Oreochromis niloticus: one gene and its partners. The protein of the gene in region 1 purifies or fractionates together with the protein of each later gene. This does not show direct contact. Links are inferred from orthologs where the notes say so. Each region holds a gene or a part of one and is shown on either strand. Other genes may lie near its edges.

Region 1 (7,338 bases):
TGGTGGTGGTTCTGGAAGCTGCCGCCGCCCCTGTCTGACTCCGCTGTCCTACAGGTGCAGGTGGAGCTGGGGCAGCTGATGGTGGGGCCTGCACTGCCTGTTCCAGGGTGGGACTCTTTCTTATAGAATCCAGCTGGGGACTAGTGCGTCCTGCAAACAAACAAACAGCAATTAAAAGCTGTTCCAAAGTAGCTGCTCTTATGGGAAAAAAAAAATTTCACATTAAAAGTGTTGAGTGAAAAACATACTGTCCATTAAAGTCCTGCTTGTGCAGGACTTCACAGTGTAAGCATTTTACTTGTATTTGTAATAGATTTGTGTCCAATGTAAAACATTTTTGGAGTATTTGTGAGTAAAAGTAACATTCAGCCCAATCTACTTAAAAATTTAATACACAGTAGCAGTGAAGATGATTCTGTCAGAGCTGAATGATAAGCTTCAGCTACTCACAGACTTCCATGTTACTGGCAGTGGATGACACAGATGTTCACTGACAAAAAGGTAAAAATCGAATCTGTACATTTAGAGAGAAAATTTGACATGTGTCTTTTATACATGACCTCTCCTTTGAACACTTTAAAAAAGGTCCAGGCTTCACCAGTTTATTAGAAGTATGACGCAAAACTGTCTTTTCTGTTTCCAGTTCAAAACACAATAGGGACCAGGTGTGTAGCAGGAAACTCAAAGCAGTGTGCAGCTGTGATCTATTCAAATGAGCAGGAATCAGGTGTTGCTCCAAATTTGCTTGAGAAACAGATGTTTAGCTTACAATAATATTGTTTAATTGTCTGAGGTCACTACGTAGCATTTAGACAGATATGAGCAATGAATGATTTAACTTCATCTGCTACATTTCACACCATCCATAAAAGAGGGTTTGGACAGCCTTGAACAACCTAATGCTTTTTAATGTGGCTGACTTGCTTATTTCACACAGCTCCTTACCAACTGCTCCAGTAGATCCAAACTGTTGAGAACCAATGGGTGCAACACCAAACTGGCTGTATGATGGGGCAGGAGCCCTGCTGAAAGGTGCATAGGACCCAGGAGCCTGGAATGATGGAGGTGCTGCACCACTTGAGGATCCAATTGATGACTAGACAAACAAATATGCATCCAGTTGAAAACATTACAAGATTTTTAAACATAGCTGTTAACTATGACTGAAAATACTAAGATACAATTATAAAAGGTCTGATGCCTACATTTCAAAACAACAAATAACGCAAAACGAATGTGAAACTGTAGTTAGGACACAAAGCTGTTAATAAACCAATGCACGTCTTAGAAAGTGTTATCTATCTAGAAGATAGATAAGATACCATATCTAGAAGGGAAAAAAAGCCAGACTCTACTTTGAATACACTTTATTTTAACCGACTCCTTTGTTTGTGAATCTGGTTTTCAGGGCTTCTACAACAAGTAGCAGCCCTTTATTTTTTTTGTTGCTTCCTGTATTTTCTAATTGGCTTCTTTCATTTTCTTAAAATGGGCAATAATTAAAAACATTGATAATCACTTATTTTCTGTAACAAAGAAAGAAAAAGCAGTAATACAATAGTTGTCACTTTTCTACCTGAATTTCTTTATAGGTGATCCTTGTAATACAGGTGTTAGAAATAATGTTAACGATGGCCCTACAGCAAAGTTTCTTTAAAGCAAGCTTTGCAACTCACAGAATGCCTCTAGGCAATTATTTCAGTAATAATTCTGAATAGTTATCTCAATTGCTATTATTTAATTATTATAAAATCACACACACACAAACTCCACATACATAATAATTAGTCAGTGTCTCTCCCTTATAATGCCTCAATAAAGCCATGCCTGTGCAACCATGAGCCAGAATACAAGAGCCCTAAAGAAAAGCCTTTACACAGCTGTTTTATAGTAATGGAATGCACGCCAACTGACTTACTTGAACTATAGCAGGGTCCTGCGGCAGGGCACTGGTGGCTTTTGGTGGCTCACAAACCGTTAGGTCTTTAATATCACTTCCTCGGAAGATGATGTACTCAAAGACCTCATCCCGAGGAGGAATAGGCCTGTCAGTGGGCCGATCCTCAGTGCCAAAGGAGCGCACTGTAGGGAAAATTCACAGGTTAATTTACACGACTTTACTTTTTTTGTATTATTAAGGAAGAGAATATCCTTGCGTTAAGAACAGACACTGTTGACTTCACATTACCTGTCAATGTTAGAACTGAATATTATGAATTTGCGTTGGAATACAGACGAAAGAAAACAGACCCTTCAAGTTATATCAATTTTTGTTAACCACATTATTCAACATAATAAACTCCACACAATATGAGCACTTGAGATGAAGTTATTACTCTTCCCATACGCACAGCCCACCAGGTCTAAGCGATACTGTCAGTCAAAGTATTATAATCAGAGTTTCTAAAACGCATGTTAAAAAATAAACACTAAAAAGAGCCAATAAGCCGCAACTAGTGCTTTAACAAGGTATGCCTGGTGGTAAGTATGTGTCACTTGGTGCACAGCATTTGACTTTACCACAATTACAACGTAAACAAAGGACTACAGCGCTTAACTATAGCGCCACTTAGCTCTGTTGGCTAACTAAAAAGCTAACCAACAAAGCTAAATACGCTAAAAAATACTGTTTTCCTTCGCTTAACACTTTTACGCTCTTTGAGTCTTCTCTGCGTGCCTTAACTTACCTTTAGCGAGAGCTACAGTCGAGTTTTCTGTGTCAATCGTGTACAAAATTCCTTCATAGCGGATCTCGGCCTTGGAGATGAGGCTAATTTTGCTGCCGAGGTACGGTGTCCCTCCTCCGCTCATCTTCGTCCTTTAACTTTATTTACACACGTACTTCCAAAGAAAACGTTTTGTGTCACACGAGACGTCGGATGCGTTATTTTCAGACCTGCAGTTCTCAGACTACATAACATATATCGTCAAACGACACTGAATCTCACTCGCCCGCTCGCAACTGATCTCTACCACGACATGGCCGTTTTCATTTTCCTTCCCCTGCCGCAAAGGATATTGGGAGATAGGTAGCGGCCTAGTCAACTAAAGTCGCCTCCTTTTCCTCTTCCGTCCCTTCCACTGTTGCCTTTGCTTAAAAATAGAAACGAATGATGTGACAAATATATTTTTAGCTGTACTAACATTTTTGATGCAGTTTGGACTTTTATTTTGTAATTATCATTATAATATTTCCTCAAAGGGACTAACTAAGTCACTAAATAAGGATACTTAATACAGGTTTGAGATTTAGCCACAAAAAATCTCGCGATATTACACGAGATTACATCCAGAGAAGGTTTAGAGCAGAAAATTTCGCAGCCATTAAACAGTCTAAATTTTTTACGTGTCTCCCACAGCTCTCATGACGCTGTCCCTGCAAGGCACTAATTTTAAATAAAAAATAATAACAACGGTTATTTTCATTTTAGTGTGAATGTTTTTAGGCAGAGGCTTCTGAGCAGTTATAGTTAGGCTAACTCAAACTAAATACTAATTGTGAAAACATTTTTAGTTAACCACAAATAAGTAAATAACTAAATAACTAGATTTCTGAAAATAATCAGAATAAAATAGCTAATATAAAATAAAAAACAAACAAACAAACAAAAAAACCCAAAGGAAATGTCTTTAGCTTTAGCGTTTGCTATTATGCCAATAAAACTAAATAGAATAGACTAAATAGAACTTACATAAACTAAAGTCAAAATATTTAGAAAACAGACAATATTAACTCATCAAAATGTTATTCCTTGGCCAAACAAATTCATAGTAATGTCGTGGTGATGTAATGTTGCAGTGTTGTGATTTATATTAAAAAATAATGCTTTCATTGAAGTTATTTAACGTTACTTATTGTGTGTTTTGCCTTGTTTTGCCAGAACATAAACTGTAGCTATAACTGTACAAAATGTACAAACATTGCAAAAAATGATAAGAAAAAAACTCCATAATTATTGCTAATAATATTATTTTTTTTAGTATTTTACTTTAAATATTACTGTACTTTTTACTAATATTAATGTACTGTACTTAATACAATATACAACTTATTACAATCTTTCAACATACAACAATCAAATACAGCTACCATAAAGTTTTTAAAATTATTATTGTCATTGTTGTTGTTATTTTAACTGCTATAAAAAAGTATTCCCAATTATTCCTGATCAAAATCTCGTCGTCAGAATAGACCAGTGTATTATTCTTTTCTCATAATGCCATTTCATTTCAACCCTGCACGGCCTTGCTATGTTGAGCCAGATTGAGAAATCTCATATTTATTATTAATATTTATTATCTTATTTTAAGACATTTTAAGCTATTTTTTGTATGTTGGATTAAAGACATTTTAATTTAATTTAATACTTCATATTTTTATTTTGTCATATTTTACCTAATTGTATTTTTTTCATATTAGTTATTGCCACATTTCCTTTTATTTGATTTAAGATACAATCCTAATGATTTAGGCTATTATTTTACAGATTGTGTTAACTTCATTTTTAACTGCTGTAAAAAAGTAATTTACTAACTGTATGGATAATAAATGATATATTTCCCATCTGACCTTTTGCAAAAGATGCACAGACAAAGGGAAAAAACAATATCAAAATCAGACCTAATAATTATATAACTTCTGAATAAATGCTTTGTTTCAGATCTATTTTATGTATTCATTAACTTAGTAGCTTTATGTACATTATAACTGTCTTATATCGTTTTAAAATAATCTTTGCTTATTTCTTGAACATTTTTTTCTCATCTATATATGATTTTCTTTAAATATGGTCACAGCTCCTCATATTTTACTTTGGGATGGCGGTGTAACTGCACGGTACTTAGTATGATTACTAATTAATACTCCATGAAGGTAACACATAATAAACAGGATACAATAATCACAGACTTACGGCTACACCTAGGACGCCCCTTCCTCCATTTATACCCCCCTTGTTTAATGACGTCAGATCCATTCCCACAATGCCTAGTAACACGCAGGCGCATTGTAAAAAAATAGAAGACGGCTATCTGTGACCAGAGATGGCGGGCGCCTCCGACCCCCTGGAAGATATGCTCTTTTCGGAGGTGGATGAAAAAGCTGTGAGCGACCTAGTGGGCTCATTGGAGTCACAGCTTGCTGGACAAAGCAACCCGGCTGGTAAAGCAGACGAAAACGGAGGCGCTGGCTCTGTGGCCCCCTCTAACCATCACTTAGGAAAAACGCTACCAGCTCCAGTGAGCACCACAACACTAGAACAACAACAACAACAACAAGGACGCCGAAATAAAACTGAGATGCGCCAGGAGATCAACTCTAAAGACGTTAGCCCGGATAAGACTGTCACATCTCCTTCACCGGGCTGCAGCCCTTCTTTTGGCGAGCCTTCCACCACTTCGGGTGCCTGTGTGAGCGCCACTAGCAGCGGCTCGCAATCACATGGAGCATCCATCACAACACTGACTGCATCTGGTGTGTCAACTTTGGCATCTTCGCCGCCAGCCAGCATCAGCACCACTACATCCAGCCGGGGCTCTAAAGTTACCGTGGGCACAGGCGAGACGTCGACGGGAGCAACCCCGCCGAGAAAACGCATAACGACGCCGCGGAGGAGCGCTTCGGCGCGGATAAAGAGTTTGAACGGCGCAGCTGTAACAACGCGGAGGAACAGCAACACGGCGGTGGTCGACAACGTTAGCCCAGTGGATACGAGTGCAAGTACACCAAACTGTGGACGACCCGTCACAACCTCTATTAACACTTCGACGTTCACCTTATCCAACGCGAGCCTGCCTGTGGGTCAGTCGGCTATTGCTCTCGACAGGGGGACTCCTACTATTGCTTTGCATAGACTCCCGAGTCATATTGTTGCCAGTATAGCCCAGAACGGCAACGGGACCAGTGTTTCGGCCTTGGTCCAGCAGGGTGCTCGTATAGGACCCGTTACCTCTTCAGCTTCCCCGGGGAACCAAACCAAAATGGTCACAGACACTGGGGCTTCCAAAACAGACGACTGTCAGTCCAAAATTGTAATGTTAACCCAGTCTAGCGGTGTCAACTCTGTAGTAAATACTGTTTCCACTTCCTCTCCTCCTCTTCCTCCTCCTTCTTCTACTTCTTCTTCGTCTATTGTCACACCACCAACAACTACTACAGCTGCAGCAACAACAACAATAACAATAACTCAGCCTCTGAGCTCCATCACACCTGCTGCGTGTGTTACAGGGATGGCAACTATTTCAGCATGTGGAGCTGGTCAGACCACATCAGTGACCACCACTATTACTATGGTTAGGCCAACAGCTCCCTCTCCAACACCTGCTGTGGCTACATCTGCACAGTCGCAACCCCGTCCTGGACTTACAGCACCACAAAGGATTGTAACCCCCCAACTGATTGTCAGACCGCCTCAGCAGCAGACCACCATTCAGCTGCCCCCTGGGTTTACCATCCCACAAGGTAAGGTTAGCAGGAGGGCTAACAACCAAGTCAGAGGATCCTGGTTGTGGTTGTTAAAAGGGCTCAGTGTGTGTTGGACTCTCCCATAATAGAAGATTGTGTGTGACATCCTCCGGATTTTCCCTGGCTCAAAATAAGCCTTTGGGCATGAATAATCTACATATATGTATGGCAAGAAGTGTTGTACCTTACATAACAGAAGTTTGTGGATTTTTCATGTTATTTCTGATCATTTACTAAATAAAACTGTGTTTTATGTTTGATTAAATGTTTAAGTAAAACATTTTCATTACAGTCCTGGTGATTTTCATTTACACAACGGTCAAAATATCTTTTTTTTGTAAACAGGAAAAACCCTGATTTTCTTGTTTGGTTTGTTTGTTTGTAATTGGGGAAAAAATGAGAAAACTGAGAGGAAAAAGACAGAAATCAAGGTATTTATACAGATAGATGCAATAAGCACACACACCTTGTGTTTGTGGTAAATCTAGAGCAAAAAACATCAGTTTAAATGTTTATTTATGCAGGATAATAATAGCACACTGTGAAGATGAGTAGAATCACAAAAGACCTCTAAGGAAACTTTGGGAGGCACGGAGAAATGCTTTGGGCAGCTCCAGTGTGCAGACAGTAGCCACTGATGCTTTGAGACAGCAATATGTTGTCAAAAAATATTTGAGTAGATATTGGTTTTTTTTTATGTAGCTAACTTTTGTTATTACAACAACAATTCAGTGGGCCAGGATTCCAGTAGTTCAAATTATAGCTTACCCAATAGATGAGCCATATTTGTAGTCCTAATTTAGCTGTTATATTTAAAACATTGTAATCTCCATAGAAGCTCATATTCTGTAATTGTAAAAGGGCAGGTAATAACA
Region 2 (7,169 bases), on another chromosome or scaffold:
TTCCAGACGTGACAAATTTTGATTTCATGTCCAAACCTTCTCCAGGTAAGATGCTGTCAGTCAGGATTTACCTCTGGTCCTCCGGTACGCGATGCAGAGTTAGCTGTAGTAGTGCTTTGTATTTTACACCAGAGGCCATCCGTTCTGCTGTGGATCATTTGGAGCTGTTGGGAGCTGTGGAAAAGAAGGACGGGCAGGTTTTCCTCACCACTCTGGGAAAGAAGATGGCGAGCTTCCCTCTGGAGCCCAGATATGCCAAAGTAAATCCTGCTGGTTCTGCTCTGATCTTTTTTTTTTTAGCAAAGACAAAGTGTCGGCTCACAAGCAGATAACCCCTCTGTTTGCTCCACACCGCAGACCATCCTGCTGTCCCCGGACTACTCGTGTTCTGAGGAGATTTTGAGCATCGTGTCGCTGCTGTCTGTGGACACCGTGCTGTACAACCCTCCGGCCCGGCGGGACGACGTGCTTGCAGTGCGCAAGAAGTTCATGTCCAGTGAAGGAGACCACATGACACTGCTAAACATTTACAGAGCGTTCAAGAAAGTCAGCGGTAACAAGGTGGGTACGATGAACACAACTAATGAAAATACATAAATGAAATCATGCTGCTGAGCTGTCACGTGATCTCTGCTGTTGTAGGAGTGGTGTCGGGAGAACTTTGTCAACAGCAGGAACATGGGTCTAGTGAAAGAAGTCCAGGCACAACTTAAAGAAATCTGCCTTAAGGTACACATCTGCTAACCTCTGCTAGCACAGAGGGATTCTCCCAGGAATCGCTGATTATCCTGATCAACTACAGAGGATTTATTAACATTTAATGCAGCTCATTAGAGAATAATATCCATGCTTTTGAAAGTAAAGTGAACACAATGTGTAAATTCTGACAGTGTCAGTATTATTATGAATGTGCATCATCACACAGGCTAACGCCTCAGGGCTATTTTGAAAACAGCGAGTGCCGGTTGATGAATGAGTGTTTTCCTGCTTTGATCGATGCTGCACACCTGTCTTTGTGCATCTCTGCGGTGAACTCATGCGACCTGTGTACTAAGTCACGTCTTGTTGTTTTCCCAGCTGAACCTGAAACTGGAATCGTGTGGAGCAGACACGGCGAGCGTTCGCCGCTGCCTTGCCCACGGGATGTTTGTCAACGCTGCAGAGCTGCAGCCCGATGGCAGCTACTTGGCTCTAGACACCCACCAGCCCGTGGCCATCCACCCGTCCTCCGTCCTTTTCCAGGCCAAGCCGGCATACGTAGTCTTCAACGAGCTGCTGCACACCTCCCGCTGCTACATGAGAGACCTCTGTTTGGTCGATGCCGACTGGCTGCTGGATGCAGCGCCCGAGTACTTTGGCCGCAAGCTCCACCTCAACAAGAGCTAACCAACAAAGAAACAGGCCACCTGCCACAAACACACTTATTGCAAGTTGGTGCAGAACGTTTGCTGTGTCGTAAACTACTCTGGATTTCACTACCTCCCAGTTGACAAGCATTGGGCATCTGTCACTGAAGCAGAAGTCTGCATATCGAAGTTTGACTTCCTCTGGACTGTCATTCCGATTTTACGAGCTGTAATTTCTTCTTGTCATCATTTAGCCACACGGTTGGCCTGAAAAGCCAGTTTGCTTTGAAGTGTCTTGCTTTGATTCTTTCAGTAGTTGCATGCATTTATACAGCACAGGTAACCTCAGAGGAGCACAGCATGGGGCTGTTTTCCACCATGTTGTTCTTCTTCATTGCTACCAAATAGCCATCAAAACGCTCCAGCAGACGGATTAGTGGCTGCGAGTCCAAAATATGAGCTTTTCCGAAGCTAAGAAAAGCACTCTGATTGTTTTGGGTTTACATGAAGTGGTCTTACAGGGGTTTCTTTATGCAATCAAAGTAGATTTGTTTTACTCTACTTTCAGCTGTTCCCTTATTCACAAGAAAACATGAAAAACAAATGCAGTGTGTCACACTGACATGGTTTCACTTATACAGCACTAGCCTCGTTAGCTCGTGCATGCTCCTTTTCCCATCTGCAGTCATGTCACCGTCTCTTCCCCAAATACACGCACGTCAGGAGAAGTAGCATGCCTTCCTCTCCAGGTTCTGCTCATTGCTGTTTGTCGCGCAGATCCCCACACAGTTGCCAGACGTACCTGCTAACAGCAGACATGTGCAGTGCACGGAGAATCTGTTCAGCGATCTGATCACTCGGCTCCGTCACGCTTTGTAGAATGTAAATGACGTTGTGTTGATGATGGAGCGTCCTCTTGTCTTTTTTTTACACATTGGACTCAGGACTGTAAAATATAACCTGAATAAAGTATACAGTTTCTAACTTTGTAGTCAAACGCTGAATGCTTTAGAGAATTATCAAAAGTTGAGCCATTTCTGATCTGCATGAAGTTTATTGTAACGAATGCACGCCTGCCAGGGCTCATCTATGAGCGTGGATCATCTGATCCTAATACATGCCCATGTTTGTTACATATTCTAATAAAAACAAATCCACCTGAGTCGGCACAAGTCAGTCGCAGTTCTAACGTGTTTAGTATTATTGTGTTATGGCCATAGCATGGTTTAAGGACTGTGCGAAAGTCTTGAGCCACCTCATTTTTAAAAACATTTTGCTTCCAAGTAGATGACCTTTGGAATTCTTTAAGAGCTTTGGAGCAATAGTTCTCCAGACTAAGCTCTTCTTCTTTGGATGCTGGATGCTTTTTCACTCATTTTCAGTCCTGAACATTTTCAAAGGAACATTCTGGGTTTTTAAAAAAAATTATCATTCAAGTCTCTTAACACAGCCAGCACTTTGCATAACTCCGGGGGAGAAGCCAGTGTTGTCTACACATACAACATGTCATATCTTTAGGCGCTATGTTACTATATCATTTGCTCCCATTTCTTTATTTGAATCAACGGAAAATGCCAAAACTGACATTTCCGCCAGGGGCTCTTGTGTTATGATGGAGTTATGATTTTGACCCACCATACTATCTGAAGAGCAGTTTGTTTGTTATTTAGCATGATATTGGTCACAAACACTCTACCAATGCAGTAAAAGTAGACCTGGACAGAAAAGCACGCAACTGGACGACTCTTCCTGAAGACTACTCAAAGAAATGACAAGACTTGTCTAAGAGAGTTTAGGCTGTGCTGAAGAATAAAAGTGTTCATACCAAATATTTCAGACTTTCAAGCTCATTAGAATTGCTCAAACTCTGTTTTTGCCTCATGTATTTGCGTTTATGTTTCAATGAATCAATGGACTTATTTCCCATTTTAGTAGCAAAACAGAAATGAGAAGTGTCTCAAAACGTTTGACTATGTTCATTTAGTCAATTCAGAAAAACAGGATCTCCCCTGCTGCCGTTTAATTATAGACAGGCTCACATAGACTGGAAAGCAGCTCCATCTGCTGGCGGGAGGGATTCACATGATGCAACTGATCAGCCTCATTGCACCGAAGTGTCGATGTTTTACTTTGACTGATGCAACCCCGTCGTTAGGGGCCTCAGTCGATCATGTCTGTACACACACACACGCTCTGAAAATACAGTACAAATGCACTACGGTACACCAATCAAAAGAAACCCCTCCAAGCTTTTCAGTAAAAGAACTGAGGCTGGGATTTTTTATTAAATCCTGACAGTTTTTAAGCCAAAACGGGGTTTAACTCTGGAGCAAAGTCCTATTAAATCGGGCCCCTGCACACAGATATTTTTGCACTTTAATCTCCTTACATATGTATTTTTAAGAGTTTCTGTTTTAGTGTCACAGCGTGAAGGCAAAGGTATTATTAAAGTCCGCGGTGTTTCAGATTTGTAGCCACACTGTAAAAAGCTCCGCAGAACAAACGACATGAAAAACCCCAATTTAAACAGATAGCAGCGCCGGTCTGCTATCGCTGATTTGAACTACAGGGGGCGCTGATGTGTAGACAATCATTTACAACACACACGTAATTTTTCCAAATAACTTTAATTAGGTTATATCTTATTTATTTTTTCTATTATAATATTTTGTCGTATTCGGTGTAGTTTTTGATGTAGAATTTAAAATTGCTATTTCGTGTCTTTCGCTTTTAGAGTATTACTTCCGGGGCAAAGAGTATCTGGGTCAATGTGTCCTTCCACACGTGCTGTCAGCGTCTTCTAGAAGCAGCGTCGGTAACCGGTGTTCACAGTGAGCTGTGCGGCACGGAACTCATTTATTCTGTCGTGACAGGTGTTTTTGTACAATCATGCTAAAGTCAGTCGTCCGTGCGGTGGGAGCAGCTGCTCGCCTTTCTTCAGCCAGCACCTCCGCAGCGCGAGTTCTGCCCCTCAGCTACCCGGCACTGCGCTCTCCGAGTTCGGCAGTAACTCGGCCCTTCACCCGGTCTCTCTGGATGCTAAATAATAACGGAGCCTCGTCTGGATACAGGCCCAAACTCTTCAGCTCCAAGGTGTTGAGTCCGTCGATGTCGTGTGGATGTGGAGGACTGCACACAGAAGGTGACGTTTGGTGTAAACTCCTTTAAACAAGCCAGCCAGCTTACGAGACCAATAAACTTAACATTAGATGGATCAGACAACTCGTATTGCCAGAACCAACACGTCCTTTACAGTTTAAAGGGATAAAAAAAGATGTTTAACGATCGTTATAGACTGAGTTCATATCAGCATCTTCAGACTGTAAGGAGTCTTTCACCTTAAACTGTGATTAGTGGTTGTCACTGAAAAAGGCTCTGAAACCTGCCAATAGCCTTTGATCATTCAGCACACGTGACACGTCTAGGACTGTTCATAATATCCAACGAGACATCTTTAGACAGCCACAAAACAGATTTCTTTCATTTTCAGCAGTCTTACAAGTATTGGTAAATGGCCTGTATTTATATAGCGCTTTACTAGTCCCTAAGGACCCCAAAGCGCTTTACATATCCAGTCATCCACCCATTCACACACACATTCACACACTGGTGATGGCAAGCTACACTGTAGCCACAGCCACCCTGGGGCGCACTGACAAGCACTCGTGTTTTGTGTAAAATGTTAGAATCAGCCTTGTTTTTCATTTTATTGTCAGAAGTAAACCTTTAAACAAACTGTGCATCACGTCTCATGATGAAATCATAAACTCTCTGTTCAGGTGACAAAGCTTTTGGTGACTTCCTGTCTGATGAAATCAAAGAAGAGAAGAAGATCCAGAAAAACAAAAGTCTTCCTAAGGTGTCGGGAGGATGGGAGCTGGAGATGAATGGCACAGAGGCTAAACTCACAAGAAGTGTTTCTGGAGAAAAGTAAGTCTGCCAAAATGATTGGATAAACGTGGCCGGTGTGGCATGTGAAACAAGCTCACGGTATTTCTGCTCTTCACAGAATCGCGGTCACATTCAACATCAACAACAGCATTCCTCCCAACTTTGAGGAAGAAGTGGAACAGACACAGCAGAAATCAGCAGAAGAGGAGGTGAGGCACAGCTAGTGGTTGGAAGACACTATTCAAGCATAACCAAAGACACCTAGGAAAGATATCCCTCAAGGGACGAATCAGTGTTGTCTACACATAACAGACAATTTAGAAAAGAACTTAAAATTGTATCTTTAAGCTCTTTGTTGCTAGCAGCCTGTCACAAAAACATTTATTCACATTTCTTTAGTAGAAACTGTGAAAAATACGCCAACGATGGTTGGACACAGTTTGACAGGTTAAACATTGTACTTTGATTCCCAAAGAGCTGTCATTGCAGCACGTTGTGCAACATGGCCTTTTAAGAAAATCTGAGGAAACTGGACAAAAAGTGGTAGGCCTAAACCAGGGGTGTCCAACTCCAGGCCTCGAGGGCTGGTGTCCTGCAGGTGTTAGATATCATCCTGCATCAAATGATTAGTTCATTACCAGGCCTCTGGAGAACTTCAAGACATGTTGAGGAGGTCATTTAGCCATTTAAATCAGCTGTGATGGATCACTGGCTCTCGAGGCCTGGAGTTGGACACCCCTGCCCTAAACTATCTACAGCAGATGAAGAGTATCTGAAAGCTGAATCCTTAAGAAATGGATGAAAAAATAGAGCAAAGATTTGACAGAGAACACAAGAGATGTTCATTTATCTACTGTGACTGAGACCTCATCAGAAATGTTCTCAGTGAAAGGCTGCCTCTCAAGAAGCCATTGATCGTTGGTGAGGAATCTAAATGTGAAGGTTTCCTTTCAAATCATAGTATGTACAGAAAAGGTCAGGAGAGGGAAAACAGAGGCTACGACCATCTGCAAAGCACAGTGGAGGCTGCATTTTGTTAGTCCAAGAGATGGAAAACATCTCTGTTAGCGTGCTTGTCAAACGCGATAAAAGCTGAGTTGAAGAATAAAGACGAAATATTGACTTTCAGACTCGTTAGAACTGCATGAACTCTTAAGTTTGTCTTATACACTGTTTTCATATTTGTTTACTGTTTTCTTATATGTCTGCACTCATTTCAATAAACGGCTCCTCCATTTGCTAATTTCCTAACAACACTTAAAGAAACGAGGGTGGCTTGCACAGCACCGTAGGCGGCTACTGGCTTACACACTGAAGTTTTTAACCTCAACATTTTGTGTATTAAGCTTTTTACCCCTTTTTTGCAGCCGGAGATTGTATCAACACCCAACTTTGTTGTTGAAGTGACAAAGCAGGCTGCAAAACATTCCCTGGTGTTCGACTGCCATTTCCCTGAAGATGAGGTAAAGTCAAATAAAACGAATGTCTAATATTGCCGATAGCAGCAGTAGTGTGCGCAATAGTGAAATGAATATGAGGCATTTGTATTTCGTAGATAAGCCACGGTGAGGGAGAAGAGGAGAGCGACATCTTTGCCATTCGAGAGGTCAGTTTTCAGCCACAGGGAGATTCAGAGTGGAAGGAGACGAGCTACACACTCAACACAGACTCTTTGGACTGGGTGAGAGCCGAGGCAGTACACACAGCAACAGCTCAATTATAACGGTCACTGAAAGTGGCGCTGTGCTCAAGGTTGCTTACTTACTGGTACTGTTTCTCAGGCCCTGTATGACCATCTGATGGACTTCCTGGCTGACCGTGGGGTCGACAACACCTTCGCCGATGAACTCATGGAGCTGAGCACGGCCATCGAGCATCAAGAGTACATCAAGTTCCTGGAAGACCTCCAAGGCTTTGTCAAATGTAATTAAC
Region 3 (7,098 bases), on another chromosome or scaffold:
GCAATGAGAATGCGCTGTGATGAATACATGAATTGAACATGCTGATCTTTGCTTATGTGTGGGTTCTTTATTTTATTTATTTTTTTACCATTAAATGATGTTGGTAGTGTTGATTTGCTGCATGCTTTCTTTCAGTTTCTTCTCTGCACAATGCCACATCTACTGAAGAGCTCAAGAATCAAACAACAATGCCGATAAATTAAAACTGATTTAGTAGCAGGTAGAAAAACTAGTTTATCCAAGTTTTATCTATTCTACATGTGGATCAGGATACAAGCTCTCCAATGCACCAGTGCTGTGCATTGAATGCTCCGCGTGGCCAAACGGGCTGCTGCTTGCAAACGGGTCTCTTCACTGTGTTTGCGATCGAGAGCATTTCTCCATTTACTCCAACACCTCCTCACCAGGAGGCGAGAGCAGGCACGCTGAGCCAAAGCTGAAGGCGAAACACAAAAGAACAAAAAATAAAAATGTGTTAAGAGATAGCAAAATAATGATGCTTCAAGAATGGAAACAAAGCTGCGTGGGTATTCTATAATGACCTTGTGTTTCTGTCTTGGTGTGGCGATAGGACACATATCTCATCCACTGATGCAAAGCTCTTCTTTTCAATCTGGAGATAAAATGAAACGCAGCTCTGGATTCTTTCTCTTTCTGGCAAGAAGCAGCCGTATGCATCTCTTTCCACTGAAGCCAAGCCTTCAATACAAAATATATCAGGTGACCCATCACCAGAGAGAACACACAGGAGTAATGTACCTCAAGGTTCACTACTCTTTGGTTTTCTTTATACATTTGACCCCGGGAGCATGTCATCCATGGGCATAGTGTAAGTTGACAACCACCTCAGCTTAGATAAGCATTTCAATTCAGTTGTCCAGTCTTATTTTATGCTGCTTAGGCTCAGTAAGAGTTAGTTTTCACAGGATTGTAGTATAACTGAGCTATTTTCCCATTCCTGATTTCTTTTTATTTTTGCACATTTATCTCACTTAAATGTTTCAGATCAAATGTTAATATTAGATAAAAATAATTGAGGTTCATATGAAATGCACTTTTAAGTAATGATTTCATTTATCAAGGACAGAAATAATCCAAACCTACATGGCCCTGTGTGAAAAAGCAACTGCCCCCTAAATCTAATGACTGCTTGTGCCACCCCTGACAACAAGAACTAAAATCAGGTGTTTGCAATAACTGACAATGAGTCTTTCACATCCCTGTGGAGGAATCTTGGCCAACTCTTCTTTGCAGAATTATTTTAATTCAGTCGCACTGGTGCGTTTTGGATCATTGTTCTGCTGCATAGCCCAAGTGCGTCTGAATTTCAGAGCACGAACTGATGGCTGGACATTCTCGTTCAGGATTTTCTGGTAGAGAGCAGAATTCATGGTCCATCACAGAGTCACCACCATGTTTGACACCGTGTAATGTTTCTTTTATGAAATACTGTGTGAGTTTTATGCCAGATGTAACGGGACTCAAACCTTCCAAAGACAGATGGCGGTATGACGTAAATCTACTTGACTTCGTCTGACAGGTTCCATTTCCATTATTTCTTGATTCAACAGGTCTGCCTTGAATCAGGCCGAGGTGTGGCTATCAAAATTGAACTCAGCTTTCTAAAGAATGTGGTTAATCACAGTTAATTTAAAATTCAATAATAACAGATGAAATTATCACTTTATTATTGTTATTATTATTTTTTGTATTTCCTTGGGTCATCTTTATCTAATTAGTTTGACAGATTGGAACAGCCTAACTGAGTAGATCAGATTGCAGAGCTTACTATCATCTTTTAAATCTCTCTTAAAGACATACTTTGATGATCAGGTTTTTACTGTGCCTCTGCTTTGAAGTGAATGTTGTCCTTCATAATTTTTTCTTGGTGATAATTTTTTTATTTAGTCTAATTTTTCATAAATGCTTTTAATTTACATGTTTATAATTTTAGTTGTCTTTATCTTTATAAAGATAAGATAAAATTCGTCTTTATCTACTGCCTTTGAACTTCTTCTACTGTCAGCGTTCCTACACTTTATGTTGTTTCACTTTTAATTCTTCTTAAACATTTTGTAGTTTGTCACTTGGTTTTGAAAGGTGCAGTATTGAAAAAAAGTTATTCTTGTTATTTTTATTATTACTATTAATAATAATAATATTAACATGTGATTCACAGGGGTGTTCGATCATGCCCTTACCCTTTTCTTTAAGGTTAGCGCCCTCTGTTTCTGTGCTTGAACCTCCAAAACGTGAAGGTCTCGACGGTGCTGTAATCTAGTCTGCCACAAGCTCCACACTGAGCTGCAAAACAAAAACAATGGTAAAATCAATATTATGGTAAAAATCATAATGCTACAAGTTTTCATTTGATAACACAAAAATCTCACTGCATAGCTGAGAGCCTGTACTGCTCAAGAGCTGATTCCAGCCTTCTGCTCTTCAGTCTTCTCATCTCTGTGAAAACCTCCCATCTGTCCAACAGCAGACGCATCCGCTGGTTGTCAGCTGATGATAGAAACAAAGTGGGTGATGACACATCAGTGAATTATAAAATCTGACAAACCCCCCCCCCAACATTAGGCTTGAATGGTAAAAGTCACACCAAATGACTGAGCCTTTTGCTGTTGCATCTTCTTTTCCCTCTGCAAACACACAAACATTCGCCAGCTGCGGAGAGTCCAGTTGCACAGGTAATACCTGAAATAAAAGCAGCATGAACACATGAACAGACTTCAGTGAATCAACTATAAAAGTCTTCTATAATGTACTGTAATGACCTGTAGTGACAGTCTGCTCGCATGTTCAGACTCCACTCCCTCCTGGATGACCACCACTCATCTCTCCATCCTTCAAAGGTTCTTCTCAGTACCACTCTGTTATAGTGCGACCTGGAAAACACTGGAATTAGTGAGCAGGTAGGAAAACGAGGGCAACCAAATGGTAAACTTGAAAATGCTTTCAATTTCCAAACAAATGAAACACGTTACTTTGCTTCATGAGGAAGAACTCGGCCAAAGGTGTTCTGTATCCATATCTTCAGAAACTTTCTTGCAAGGTGCCTGCAGAAGTTAAAAGAATGGAGACTTAATTTTCAAGAAGACAGTAACATGATAACAGTGGGTCAAGGAATAGTCTCAGCACCTTATTCTCAGCTCCTTGAGTCTTCCACCTTTGTTCCAGGTGTATCCAACTCTGTAAGCGACCTTTCTGATGTGAACTTTGCGCACTTGTTTTGCTTCACCACGAGATCTGACATAGTTTAAACGGGGTCTTACTGGATCCGAGTTTCCGCCGATACTTTGCATTTTTCAAGCCGCTATTATACAGAGCACCGAATCGCATCACTTCTCAAATACAAGCATCAAAGCATCCGCATTTTACACTTTGAAGGCTGTTGTAGCTTACATGATAAAATTACCTTAATTTATCCTCACGTTAAAACTCTTTACAAAGTGCCGCGCGTTTGTTTTTCCTTATCACGTGACCACTTGGTGTCTTCGATACACAGTTGTCAACAACAACAACCTCTGCTGCCGGTCTGTGGAGACCACACTAAACTGGTTGTGGTAGTTATAAGAGTCACGGTCTGCTTAATAAACTTTTCAATATGGGGTGGTGTTTTTCATACACCTCCCTCTACAACAGTTTAAACTCTGAAATGTTTACTTCACACAGGAAGAACGTACTTAAGGTCCCCTCAGTTTAACGACGATGACACGAAATGTCAGTCGTGGACTGCCCGCGAGGACGGGGTCTTTATTTTCATAAGGACCATCAGGAGACCGGCGGTGGAGAATCACAAATCAAGCGAATCCTGAGACAAAATATGGCTGTCTCTAATAATGCCTGTCACGTGCCTTTTACCGTAGTATAAAAAAAATCACTACAAAGCAATTTACATTTTCAATATTTTATATACATACGTATAAACCAATTTATTTTGAAATTAATTTTCATATATTGGTTTAGATTTTAAAATAATTATCGCCAACGCACACCTGCCAATTTAAATTTTTACAAAGGCGCGCTGGGCACGGCGTAATCTTTGCCAGGACCTTCTTAAAGCGGTGATCAGAGGAAAATTGCTGCTACGACTTAGAAAACAGAGAAAGAGAAGACTATTATTTGAGATTTCACCGGTTCCGTGTGATTTAATTTGTTGTTTTGAACCAGTCTTATTGTGTTAGGTTACCCCTCTATAGTGTGTGCTCCCTGAAATCACAGCGACAACTCTACCGGCTCACGATTTGGTGCTCGCTGGGTGGGCATTTATCCCCAGTCCCCCAGCTAGTTAGCTAGCTCAAAGTGCTAGGCTAGGCTAGCCAGCTAACTAACGTGATCAGCTCGGCCGTTAGCGACCGGCATTCCGCACAGCATTCAAACTGAGTAAGTTTGTCTTTTGCCAAAATTTGACTTGCAAGTCGGTTGTCTACACAACTTTTGTGCCACGAATTCGCCTTATGGTTAACTGTGTGGGACGCTACCATCGTTTGGCTAACCCTGTGTCAATCTCTTGGCTAACTAGTAGCGTTTATTTCCTAAAGCTGAAATGATGAGGAATGTTTTGTATTAAAATGTTTACATGTCTTTAACTCGCTGGATCCTTTCATTGCAGAACGGCTTCGTTTACAACTCAAATGCGATACCCAATTAGTAAATTGATGTAAGCGCTTTGTAATATAATGACCTGTCAGTTCTCAGCTGCTGTCAATTAAATTGCTAATTAGCCAGCAACAACCTGAGACTCTAGAGTTGTTTTTTAACTGCCCGGTGCAGGTAAGCTTCATGAGAGTTCAAGTTTTTCTTCACGGCAACTTTTCTGTAATCTTGTTTTCTCGTGCTGCCTAGTTTAAGATGGCAATACATCTGATATATTTTGCAGCAACAGAAGGAAGCAGGGTTTTTTTTGTTTTAATCTTCGGAACATGCGTCCTTTCATTTGAAGTAATTGGCCTTTAAGACTGTATTTAGTGGCCGTAGTCGAGTATAATTGACTTGTAAATGTTAACTTGTCATCCACAGGTGTAGAGTCATTGGTGGCTGAGACACTGTCTGCTCTGTCTGAAATCCATCATGGAGAAAGATGCCTGTGTAGAGCCTAAGAATGGTGACGCTGCTGTCGACCAGCCTAAGCCGGCAGCCACAGCTCCTTACAGATACACTAAGGTGACAAAATGCCAGCTGTGTCATTGTTTATCAAATTTAGATGTTGCTGTGAATTAAACTAGACTATCAATTTATTTGCAGGAGGAGCTTTTGGAAATCAAAGCGCTGCCAATCTCCAATGAAAGGCCTGAATGTCTCTCTGAGAAATATGACAGGTATGAATTTGTGTAAAAGTCACATTGGGTAATACTGGACAGGAGGTTATGCTTTTCAAATGAGAAAGCATGGGTGAATTCTAGTAAGGAAAAGTACTAGTATTTCTCTATGCTGTGAAATACTGATTTTTGGCACAGATCAACAGTTCTTCAATTGTATTTGTTGCTGGAACTGAAGTGTATGTGATCAAAAGTTACTTTGATTAAACAAGGTTAAGCAGAAGAGTTTCTATACAAATATGTTCACTGTCTTGAAACTAAAATTTGCATAAAGTTTGTAATAATCATTGACATAGTTTAACTGTCCAGAAGACTTGCTCCTGCTTTTTGGAATTCACATGCACTTCCAGCTTGTCTCTTGCTCGGAGCTTATTTAAATTCCTTGGGGTAATTCTTAAACAACAGTCAAAGATTTGTTCAGATGTCTGCTTGAGAAGCAAAACAAACGCTTGCACTAGAAGACTTGTATCTTTGTCCAATAGCTGTTGGAGCCAGGAACAGTAGCTATGACTATATGAGAAGTGGGCTCATTAAAGGGTGGGTCAAGCGGTTTTGGGTGGGGGGGTGGGGGGGTATTTTTAATCCTAAAAAAGACCTCTTTACCCCTTCAAAGCCTACTAGGAGTTGCCCTCGAAGATCTTTTCTGAACTGAGCAGTTTGTCATTATTTTTTAGATCTGCTTATGTTTGCATCCGTTAGTGAGGTAAGGTGTGAGAGTGGTCTCTGCCTAGGCAGCTACCCTTGCTAAAACCTGCAAACAATTTTAGTTGTCATCCAATCACATCTTTATTGATGGATACTGAGGTGTCAGAACTCGTCATTAAGTGTAATGTCTTTATGGGAGAGAGTTAATGAATGACTTCAGATTTTGAAGACATGTACTTAAAATGTGATTTGTCTCAACTGTTGGAAAAATTGTTTATAGTAGTCTGTCATCAGAGTTAAACACTGCTAGTGCAACAGTATCAATTAGTTTATTATTTTGAGGATCTGATTTTATTGCACCCTCTTTTTGGGTTGTATTCTGTGCTCACAGCATAAAGGTTGAAATGGATGGCCTGACCTGTGTATTGTATTTTTGCCCATGCCTATCTTTACTTTACTCATCACAGTAGTCTTGTAATACTCAAATATAAATGTTAAACTTTCAAGATGCAGGAATTGTATCTTTCATTGTTGCTCTTTATTTATTTTTTCCTAAACAGGATCCCAGTTGAGGCTGTAGTTGTCTCTTTATTTGAAATTTATGGGTGGCTTTTTTGTTTGTTTGTTTTAAACAGTGATGGTGTCTGGGACCCTGAGAAATGGCATGCCTCACTATATCCCACTTCAGAGCGAAGCTCACCTGTGGAAGGTTTTAAGAAGGACTACATGGATGACAGAGTTCCATTAAAACGAAGAATCCCAGGTAAATAATTACTGATGGTAGATGGTTATCCTTTCATCTTTGCGTTTCATAACAATGTTGTCTAGAAACTTAACTGTGCTCTGATCAATGAATGTTTAGGATTTTAGGTTCCAGTCTTGCACAAGATTTCTAAACTGCTGCAGTGGAATTGTTCATGTAGTCTATGTACTCCATAAAACAGTTGTTGTTGTTGTTATTATTATTATTATTATTATTATTATTTGGGGTGTGTGTTTCCCTCCCTGTTTTTTAGATCCCCGTGAGCGGTTAAAGGAGGATGACCTGGATGTAGTACTGAGCCCACAGCGACGTAGCTTTGGAGGTGGATGTCAGGGCAATGCTGCCCTTCATATCCGTCGCCCAATC

The links.
Region 2: the proteins of lsm14ab (region 1) and c1qbp purify together in Homo sapiens (affinity purification with mass spectrometry; 3 studies listed by BioGRID and IntAct, with this or other methods). This does not show direct contact. The link is inferred for Oreochromis niloticus from reciprocal best matches to the Homo sapiens genes LSM14A and C1QBP.
Region 3: the proteins of lsm14ab (region 1) and eif4enif1 purify together in Homo sapiens (affinity purification with mass spectrometry; 3 studies listed by BioGRID and IntAct, with this or other methods). This does not show direct contact. The link is inferred for Oreochromis niloticus from reciprocal best matches to the Homo sapiens genes LSM14A and EIF4ENIF1.

What each region holds. Positions count from the first base shown.
Region 1 is NC_031965.2:31,839,078-31,846,415, forward strand, and holds the start of lsm14ab (LSM14A mRNA processing body assembly factor b), read right to left. Parts: upstream 3,027-7,338; 5' UTR 2,812-3,026; coding exon 2,688-2,811; intron 2,083-2,687; coding exon 1,919-2,082; intron 1,097-1,918; coding exon 946-1,096; intron 151-945; coding exon 1-150. Other genes in the region: transcription initiation factor TFIID subunit 4, read left to right, coding at 5,044-6,460. UniProt on the Homo sapiens protein: Essential for formation of P-bodies, cytoplasmic structures that provide storage sites for translationally inactive mRNAs and protect them from degradation. Acts as a repressor of mRNA translation. May play a role in mitotic spindle assembly.
Region 2 is NC_031975.2:990,649-997,817, reverse strand, and holds the start of c1qbp (complement component 1 Q subcomponent-binding protein, mitochondrial), read left to right. Parts: upstream 1-4,088; 5' UTR 4,089-4,235; coding exon 4,236-4,488; intron 4,489-5,125; coding exon 5,126-5,276; intron 5,277-5,355; coding exon 5,356-5,446; intron 5,447-6,604; coding exon 6,605-6,700; intron 6,701-6,792; coding exon 6,793-6,918; intron 6,919-7,018; coding exon 7,019-7,168; 3' UTR 7,169-7,169. Other genes in the region: ATP-dependent RNA helicase DHX33, read left to right, coding at 1-45, 133-260, 358-561, 643-729, 1,078-1,386.
Region 3 is NC_031970.2:16,090,742-16,097,839, forward strand, and holds the start of eif4enif1 (eukaryotic translation initiation factor 4E transporter), read left to right. Parts: upstream 1-4,029; 5' UTR 4,030-4,389; intron 4,390-4,641; exon of another isoform or gene 4,642-4,779; intron 4,780-4,925; exon of another isoform or gene 4,926-4,947; intron 4,948-5,025; 5' UTR 5,026-5,076; coding exon 5,077-5,169; intron 5,170-5,250; coding exon 5,251-5,324; intron 5,325-6,604; coding exon 6,605-6,732; intron 6,733-6,985; coding exon 6,986-7,098. Other genes in the region: protein SFI1 homolog, read right to left, coding at 89-159, 275-436, 543-699, 2,202-2,304, 2,391-2,508, 2,606-2,700, 2,781-2,891, 2,991-3,062 and 1 more. UniProt on the Homo sapiens protein: EIF4E-binding protein that regulates translation and stability of mRNAs in processing bodies (P-bodies). Plays a key role in P-bodies to coordinate the storage of translationally inactive mRNAs in the cytoplasm and prevent their degradation.